Linked DNA regions of Macaca fascicularis. The protein of the gene in region 1 interacts with the protein of each later gene in a pairwise test. Links are inferred from orthologs where the notes say so. Each region holds a gene or a part of one and is shown in the gene's direction. Other genes may lie near its edges.

Region 1 (4,559 bases):
TTCCCACAGCGGAGACAACAGGCGGGCTCAGCGGGGTCAGGTGGTTGTGTGTGGCCTGGACCAGGTGCTGGCCCATCTTCATTGAGCTTCCCTGACCTCACCTGTGCCCACCTCCCAGGAGTGTTATTTGGGCTGAATAAGCAGCAGCCTGCCTCTTGTCCCTGTGGACTTCCTGGCCCCTGCCTTTGCTTGCCTGGCCTGATAACATGGCAGTCACAGGGTTCTGCAGTCAAGTCGGCCAGACCTCTGGGTACAGCTGCGAGAGGCAGTCTGTCCTCCAGGGCCCTCTGACCTCTGACCTCTGACCTCCCCCTTCAGGCCCTCACCCCCCTCGGCAGTGCAACACCCTCCCCTCTCAGCCCTCCCGCCTCTCACTCAGGCCTTCCCTGCCTGCTCCCCACAACTCACTCTATGCCCCTAGCATCAGATCCAGGCCCATCTATGTTGCTGGCTTCTGGTCCCACTGCCTGGCCCACAGGGGCACCCAGATACTGATACTTGTCCATTGAATGAGGAACACAAGTAAAATCTCCCTTTCCACCCCTCAGAGTTCTGTGAAGGTGTAAGGTGTGCACCTGACCTGTGCAATTGGAAGGCATTTGATGAACAGGACCCCGACATTGGGAGCTATCCGGGTCGAGTGCTTGTGCTGGGTAGGACGGGAGCTGCACACAGCTGGGCCCGGGGAGGGCGGGGGGCACAGATGCTCTGCAGACACTTCCGGAGCAGGGTCAGGGCCACCGACACTGGGCCAAAGCATGCTGCGATGAGAAGCCTGGCCCACATCTGTACCGAGTCATAAAGGATGAGAAGAGTCAGCCAAAGGGGACAGTGTGGCTTTAAGCCGTAAGACATCTTGGGACACACGGGTCAGCAGGGACTCTGCCAGGCCCCGCAGGAGACATTCGACATGACTCCGGGTGCACGAACCCGCACCCCCAGTTCTCCCCAGCCCCGCAGCACAGGAATCTCCCCCTTCCTTGGGAACCCCCCACAGCACGACAGGCTCTTAACCCAGTTTTACAGACGAAGCTCACGGAGGCGAGGGGTGGGCCGGGCTGGCGTGCCCGCCGATCGGTCCTTTCCAGCAGCCGCCTCTTTCCCAAGCAGGGCAAGCAGCATATGGGGCCCCGCTCTCCTGCCTCCACACTGGAGTGTCGTGCAAGTCCCACACGAACAGCAAGGCAGGAACGGCCCCGCCGAGCAGAGTCGGGGGCCACGGCCACACCCCCATCTACTACCGTGCAGCTCCGTCGGCCCGGGGGCCAGGGCTCCACTACGAGCACCTCAACCCTCCGGGCCACCCCCAAGCGACTGTGGGGGCCGAGCGCGGGCGGGGCGGGTGGGGTGTGGAGCCGGCCGAGCGCGGGGCGGGGCGGGGCGCGGCGGGCGGGGCGGGCCCGGCGCCTCCCGGCGCGAGGAAGTCCCGGCCCCTGGCTTTGGGGAAGTGCTGCCGAGGCGCCTGCGCACTGCGCCCCCGCGCCCCCTCCCCGACTGTCGGGCCGGACCTTGGAGCGCGCGGGCCGGCGGCGGCGCGAGTGGCTCGGGAGCGCGGCTGGTGAGTGCGCGCGCGCCGCGCCGGGGACAGCGGCCCTGCCCCTCCCGGCCCGGGCCCGGGGACCGTGCGGGGCGGGAGCTTCGGGAGCCGGCGCACGGGACTCGAACCCCAAGGACTCCCGCCGCCAGGTCCACGTGGACCCTGGGCCGCAGTGGAACTGGAGCCCGCCCCCCGCGCTTGGGGGAGGGGGCGCTGCAGCCGGGTTCCCCTTTTTGTGGAGCTCAAAGCCTGGGGAAGTGATTGCTTAAAGGTGGGGGCCGGAAGAACCCAGGTTTCCGCGTCTCCCTCCCCCCCGCCAGCCCGGTGAGGAGGGGCCGGGGCGGGACACCCTGTCCGCCCCCGCCCCCACCCCGCTGGATCTGGCAGCCACTCAGCCCTTCGAGCTGTAGGGGAGGCGCTGCGCCCCCGGCCCCAGCCGATCGGGGGCTCCTGGCGCTAGCCTCCCTCCAGAGCGCCGCAGGAGTCCCTCCTGCCGTCTGACTTGAGTCCCTGCTGCTGCAGTGCACGCCCCTTCGGCAGCCAGGGTGGGGCCCAGACCCAACCTGGCCCCTCCTGCCCCCACCCTGCCTTTGGGTCGCTGGTGAGTAGGGAGCATTGAGGTAGGGGTGGGGGCGTCAGAGGCTGGAGAAAGAGGCACCTGGAGGAGGACACAGGCTCCTCCAGGCGGGACCCTAACAGCAGCCAGAGGAGCGTGGTGGGTGGGTCACCACCACCATTTCAGAGGTGGGGAGAGCTGGCCTTCCTTGGAGGGGCCAGGCCAGGGCTCATCCACCAGCCAGATGTGGAGGGTGGCAGATGGGAAAGGCCCTGGGTGGGCGCTAAGAACTGAGAATGGAGCCCCTCTTCAACCCCTCCCAAAGGTTATGACATTTTTTTCTGGGATTGTCACATTTTCTTATTCTTTTTTTGGACTGGGCAGGCTCTGGGACGTTCTTTTTCCTTCTGTGGAGCAAAGCAGCAGCCACTCCCAAGGGAGCCTCTATCCCCAGAGACCAGACGTGCCGCCTGTCCAGACTCTCCCATCCCAGACTTGGGGGCCAAAGCCTGGGAGGCTGGGGAAGGGGGGTCCCCAATCCCAGGATGACAAGCAGGAGGACCCTAGTTGAGACTCTGTATCCTCCAGGAGAGAAGGGGGTGTAGCCTGGGGACATGGGTTGCCCCAGCTGACCTGAGAAGGGTACAGGAAGCCCAGTCCAGGGACAGGTGACCCGGTCCAGGGCCTGAAGCTGGGAAAGAAGGGGCTGGCTCCCTCCTCTGCAGCAAATGCAGCCCCTAGCACCCCGGCCTGGCACCCCTAAACATGTCCCCTCCTCCAGTTCAGAGCTGGGGTGGACATGGTAGCCCAGGAGGGACAGTCTCCGGGGTGCTAGAGTGTGGGGGAGGACCCTGGGTGGGGGCAGAGAGGAGGAAGAACTGCTGCCTGGGGAAGTCACAGACAGCCCCGTCTGGGCACAGCTACCAAACCTCAGGTTGCCACGCCCCTTCCTTTCCCTAGAAACTTGACCCCTGAAAGCAAGCCCAGCTGCGGGGCCACCTTCTGTCTCCTCATCTACTTGCTAGGAACCTGTGGGACCCACAGTCTCAGAGGAAGCTGGGCAGGCGGTGAGGGGCCGAGGTCCCGGGGGATGCTGCACCTGCCCCAGACTTGGGCCAGGGCAGTGGCCTCTGCATGCCCAGGCCTCAGGGGTATTGGGGGCCCTGAGAGTGCAGAACTCCAGCACTGTCTCCTCTGAGCGCCATTCACACACCGTCCCAGAAGGCCAAGAGAGACCAACCAGACAGAAACAAGCATTCAAAGGCCACAAGCTAAGGGAGGCGTGGCGGGGGGGATGAAGATTGAGAAAATAAAGTAGAACCAAGTTGTGAGCTTCCTGGCCAGGGAGGAGGGTGGTGGACATGCATGGAGGCCCAGAGGGCAGAGGTGGGCGCAGGTGTTCACAACTGCCTCCGGGGCACTGATTGGCCCCCCTGTGCCATTGCCCAAGGAGACCTGGGGTTCAAAGTGGTATCTTAGGTGGCACGAGGGCCACCCACAGCTTTGGCGCTCCTGGTGCACCTCCCCTGCCGATGGTGCAACCAAACGCTGGGAGGTACACGCACCACACCACACCCCTCAGGGACTCTGAGGCTTTGACTGGGGAGGAGGGTGCCTCCACCCACTGCCACCCCCACTTCCCTGGCTGGCGCACTGTGTGGTACGGCCTTGGTTCCACAGCGGTTTCACAGCCTAGAGGCAGTGGGCAAGGAGGGAGGGAAGTCTTGGGAGGGAGGTAGCAGGACCAAAGAACCATGTTTGGGGGGCACGTCCCTCCTCACCAGGGCCCTGCCCCCCTCCCCACACCCTCAGAGAGTCCAGCCCTGAGTCCCACTTAAAACCTCACTGCGGCAGGTCTAACCTGCTGCCCCTGGCTGAGACCTCTGGGACCCGCAGACAGACCTGGACTCTTGGTGGGAGCTGCTCTGCCCACTCCCCACCCCAGACGCCCTAGAAGCAAGTCTGGCCACCACCCGCACGCACAGTTGGTAGCCCCAGACTCTTGGGGCCCCTTTGGGAGGGGCTGGGAGCCGGAAACCGAGAAAGAGGAACCCAGGCTTCCGGCTTCCCAGGGAGTGAGCGGATGGGGGTGTCTCGGAACCTTCTGTGGGGGCCTCATCTGGGGCCCAGCCTGGGAGGAGGGGCCAGAAGTTGCTGCAGCCCCCTCCTCAATGACCCTAGACCCCCTCCCAGCCCTGCTGTAAGCTTGGGGTTGGGGTAGAAGCCCTGGACAGAGCCGGGTCCAGAGGCAGGAGCAGGCCCTGCTAGGGAGACACCCTCTCAGGACCCCTCCTAAGGGACAGGCAGGGGCTGGGGTTTCAGGTTCTCAGTCAGAACCTTGGCCCCTCTCCCTAGACCCCCAGGCTGTGGTGAGGGTCTGAGAGCTGGCACCACGGAGCCTGGGCAACCTCCTCCGCCCACCCATGCCCACCCCGCATGAGGCTGAGAAGCAGGTATGCCACCTCC
Region 2 (3,942 bases), about 91 Mb from region 1:
CAGAGCTACGATGGAGAGACCACTCTATTGACCTCTGCCATGGTCAGGTCCAGGGCTGCTGCTCAAAGAATGGCACGATCCACATAATTTGACCACAGAGGTGTAAGGTGATAAGGAAGGTGTTAGCTGGGAAGGCATCTGCACTTTGCCAGGGATGCTCTAGGATACACAAAGCTTCAGGTTACAAAGATGGAGAAGACAGAGAGCAGCATTCACGTCTTGGCCCTCTGGCTTGAGAGTCTTTTAAGCATGGAAGTGAGGGGGCTCCTGGCCCTGAGGTCCACAGACAGGCTTTGAAATTGAAAGCAGAATTTTGCAGCCTGGGTTCAGCTGCATTCTGCTGAGGGTCTGATGCTTTCCACGAGCTTCCCAACAGCGCCAATGGCCTTAACTGAACTGGCTCCCTCACTTTTTTCTGGGCTGGGGGCCAGCTCCTTGGTCCTTCTCCCTTCCTTCCCTCCCAAGTCCACCTTTCCGTGTGCCAGGATTGCCAGGGACGCCAAAGAGCCCCTACACACTGGAGCAGCAGAGATGACTAATGCCCCCTCCCATCGCGGCACAAACCTCACCGTTGTAAATCGTTAGGGTTTGCATAGGCCTTTCACACGTTCTGAAGGATTGGTGAGACAATCCAGGAAAGCAGGTGCCACTAGCCCCACTTTGCAAACAGAAAGGCTGGAAGAGGTCAGTCGGTTGCCCAAGGACGCAGAGCTCACAAGAGGCCGAGCTGGGTTTGAACCCGAGTGGAGAGAAGGTGAGCCGGGACGACTGGCTGCAGTTAAGAGGGCCAGGGCCATGACTGGGCTCAGGCTCGTTTTCCCGGGCTGCCAGAAGTAGCCCCTCGGGCTCGGCTACCAGGCCTCAGCGCAGCGGAGTCACTGGGACGCCGGCGCGGGGAGCGCGTGCGGGACCGCGGCGCGCGCGGAGCCGCGACCCCGCCCCTGTCCGTCCCCATTGGACTGTTGGCCCGTCCGTCAGCTGCTTGTGCCCAATGGACAGAGGGTCGGAGCTCGTGGCGGGGCGGAGGTGCCCGGCGCGTGGTGCCCGGCGGGCGCGCGGCACCCCCCGCCCGCGGTTGGCCTGGCAACGGGCTGCGCTCGCGGCTCCGCCCCCTGCCGGCGGCGGCGCGGCGCGGGGCGGGCGGACCAGCGGGCTGGCGGCGGGCGGCGCGGGAGGGCGGGCGGAGGGAGCCAGGCCGGCCGGAGCGTGTGCGCCGCCCGCGGTCCGGTCACGTCCCCGCGTGGGCGCCGCCGCCCGCGTCGTACGGAACGAGGGCGCCGCGGCCCCGCGCTCGCCGCCCCGCCCCGCCCCGCCCTGCCAGGAGCAGCTCAGCAGATGCTCTGTGCGGCGGCCCGGAGGTGAGTGAGCCGACCCGCGGCCGGGCGCGCGCCGCTGAGCCTCGGGGGTCGGGAGCATGACCGGGGCGTCCACCTTGCCCTCACTTGGTACTCCTCCCGGGCCTTTGTGCCCCGAATCCGCCAGGACGCAGCGTCAGGGATGCCCGTCAGGGGTGGGGGACACCAAGGGCGGGGACGTCTGCGAGGTGGGCAGGGGGCGGCCTCTGGTCGGGCAGGTGCTGGGGGAGGGAGGCGCCGCCAAGCCCATGACCCCGCGGGAGGGGGCGGCTGCGGACCCGGGACGATGGACAGAGGGCGCCGGGGATGCCGCGCGGGGCTGCCGGGCGACCCCGAGCAGCGGCTGGTGGGGAGCCTGGGCGGGCAAGGCGAGCTGCGGGAGCGGCGCTGAGGCGGGTCTCCCTAGAGGGGGATCAGGGAGGGGCGGCCGGAGCCGATGCAGGGCCTTTCCCGAAACCAAGGAAAGGGCCCCAGAGGCCTGGGCCCGAGGACCTGGGCCCGGAGACGGACGGCTAGTAGTTCTCGGTCACTGCTCTTGAAGCGAGCAGGTTCCTCACAGGCATTTAGAGCAAGAGATGAGTATCGACCTGCTGCGATTGTAATACGTTCCCGGCTCAATATTTTTTCCCTTAAAAGGCGGTGGGGGTGTTTGGGGGAGGGGAGTGAGGGCCTCAGGGCAGGCGCTCCGTATCCTGCGGGCGATCCGAGGGGGCTCTGCCTTTAGGGCGGTGCTGAGCCTTTCTGGGTGATGATGGCAGGATTCGGCCTAGGCCGAGAATTGGGGCTCCTGTTACTGAGACAAGAGGACGATGCCAAGCAAGACCAGTGTTCCACGGAGTCCGTGTTGAGGTGGAGGGACCCGCCTGGTAGAGAGGTCTGTCTTGCTTGGGGAGACAGCTCAGCCCCTGACCGGCTCCTTTCTGCCCAAGTGATTTCCCTGCCCTGGGGATTGAGCTCTCTGGAGAAGGCTCCTTGGCCAAATTCAATTAAGCAAATATTTACTGAGTGCTCACTCCCCGAGGGCCTGGTGCTGGGGTGCACCGGGTGGGAGTGGACTGGGCCTCCCCTCCCAGAACTGATTCTCCACCCCATAGGGGAACACGTCTCTACTCGGCCAACCCAGCCTGAGTGCAGGTGCAGGGGCCTTGGTAGGGACCTTAGAGTGGTGCCCTGCGCTGGGGGGTCAGGTGAGCCCGTGGACAACATGACATTTGAACTGGAGCTTGAAGGACATGGGCACAGCTAAGCTGGGCATTGTGGGCAGAGAGGAGAGAATGGACCAAGGCACTTGGGCGGTTAGGTCTAATGGGAGCACCGGCAAGCCTGGGGAGGAGTGGGAGGTATGGCGGGAAAGGCGGGTGGGGGCTGCACGGAGCTGAGGGAGCTTGGAAGTGGAATGACCTCGCTGCTGGTTAGCTGTGGCTGTGGTGGAAACCACAGCTTCCTCATCTGTAAAAGCGAAGCAGTTCCATGACCCCATGAGCTGGGGTGGGCCTGGAGAAGGGCTAGCTTAAAAGACTGGGGAAGGCTCCTTGCAGTCTGAGTCTGTGCTTCCAGGCACTTCTCCCTTGGGCACAGCCAGGGCACCGGGTAACCACCCAGGCAACCCCCTTGTTAGGATTGAGTTGCCTGTTTTGGGGATGATGCTTAGCTGGTGACTCTGTGCCTCTGGGATGTGGATGTTTGAGAGCAGTAATCGTGGCAGCCTGGGAGCATCCATCTAGGGGGTGCAGTGGGGGTGTGGATGGCCTGGCGGTGCTTGGATAAAATATGCGCCTTAAGCAAGCCTCATTCTCTAGGAATGAGAAGATGCTGGCATCTGGTTTAAAAGTCTTCCTGTGTGTTCCTCTAACAGACGTTGATTTTCTGAGACAGGAGGTGAATAAGGCATAATTTCTCCCCCTCGGAAGCTGGTGTCACTTTCTGCCCTAGGTCAGCCCCCTCATTTCTGGGGATGTTTTGCTCTCCCTCTGAAGGAACTGTTTGTTACTCATCTTTGTGGTGTTCCTGCCCTCCCCACCCAACACACACTTGGCTTTGGCCAAGGCCCAGGTTGATGCAGCGAGAACAGGGCCTGCCCTCGTGGGGTGTGCAGTCTGTGCTGAGCAGGGTGAGCTGCTGCGCTCTGTGCCTGTCGCCTGGACTGTTGCAGGGACCTGGCATGCAACTGTGGGTTTGGGACACCAGGAATGGATTCTTCCCTCTGTCCCCAGCCTCTCAGGCCTTTTGTTTTCTAGTCTCAGGAGGAACCTCAGAGACCTGGAGGCCCCACCAGAGTGGCTGGAACCCGATGCAGGAGTGTGGGTGGGGCTCAGTCTGGACCTCAGGAGCTTCTAGAACAATTCCAGGAATTTGCAGGTAACTGGATGGACTTGACAGGGCTGCCCAGGGCCCCCGCAGAGAGGCCAGTAGGACAGGAATGCTGAATATAGCAATTTAGGAATGCTGAATTTAGTCATCTTGTGTGTGAACACATGTGTGCAGCTTCCTCCTCTGGAGGCAGGGAAGGCAGCCCTGTGCTGTCTGTCCCACGCTAGCCTCAGAAGACTTAATTGTGTGGCGGCAAAGGCACTCTCACTGCTGCTGA

Evidence for each region.
Region 2: the proteins of RGS19 (region 1) and GNAZ interact in a two-hybrid assay, tested with the Homo sapiens proteins (2 studies listed by BioGRID). The link is inferred for Macaca fascicularis from reciprocal best matches to the Homo sapiens genes RGS19 and GNAZ.

The regions. Positions count from the first base shown.
Region 1 is NC_088384.1:120,217,497-120,222,055, reverse strand, and holds the start of RGS19 (regulator of G-protein signaling 19), read left to right. Parts: upstream 1-1,492; 5' UTR 1,493-1,558; exon of another isoform or gene 1,559-2,138; intron 2,139-4,155; exon of another isoform or gene 4,156-4,293; intron 4,294-4,448; 5' UTR 4,449-4,516; coding exon 4,517-4,546; intron 4,547-4,559. Other genes in the region: protein LKAAEAR1, read left to right, coding at 549-566. UniProt on the Homo sapiens protein: Inhibits signal transduction by increasing the GTPase activity of G protein alpha subunits thereby driving them into their inactive GDP-bound form. Binds to G-alpha subfamily 1 members, with the order G(i)a3 > G(i)a1 > G(o)a >> G(z)a/G(i)a2.
Region 2 is NC_088384.1:29,632,000-29,635,941, reverse strand, and holds the start of GNAZ (guanine nucleotide-binding protein G(z) subunit alpha), read left to right. Parts: upstream 1-1,142; 5' UTR 1,143-1,358; intron 1,359-3,592; exon of another isoform or gene 3,593-3,713; intron 3,714-3,942. UniProt on the Homo sapiens protein: Guanine nucleotide-binding proteins (G proteins) are involved as modulators or transducers in various transmembrane signaling systems.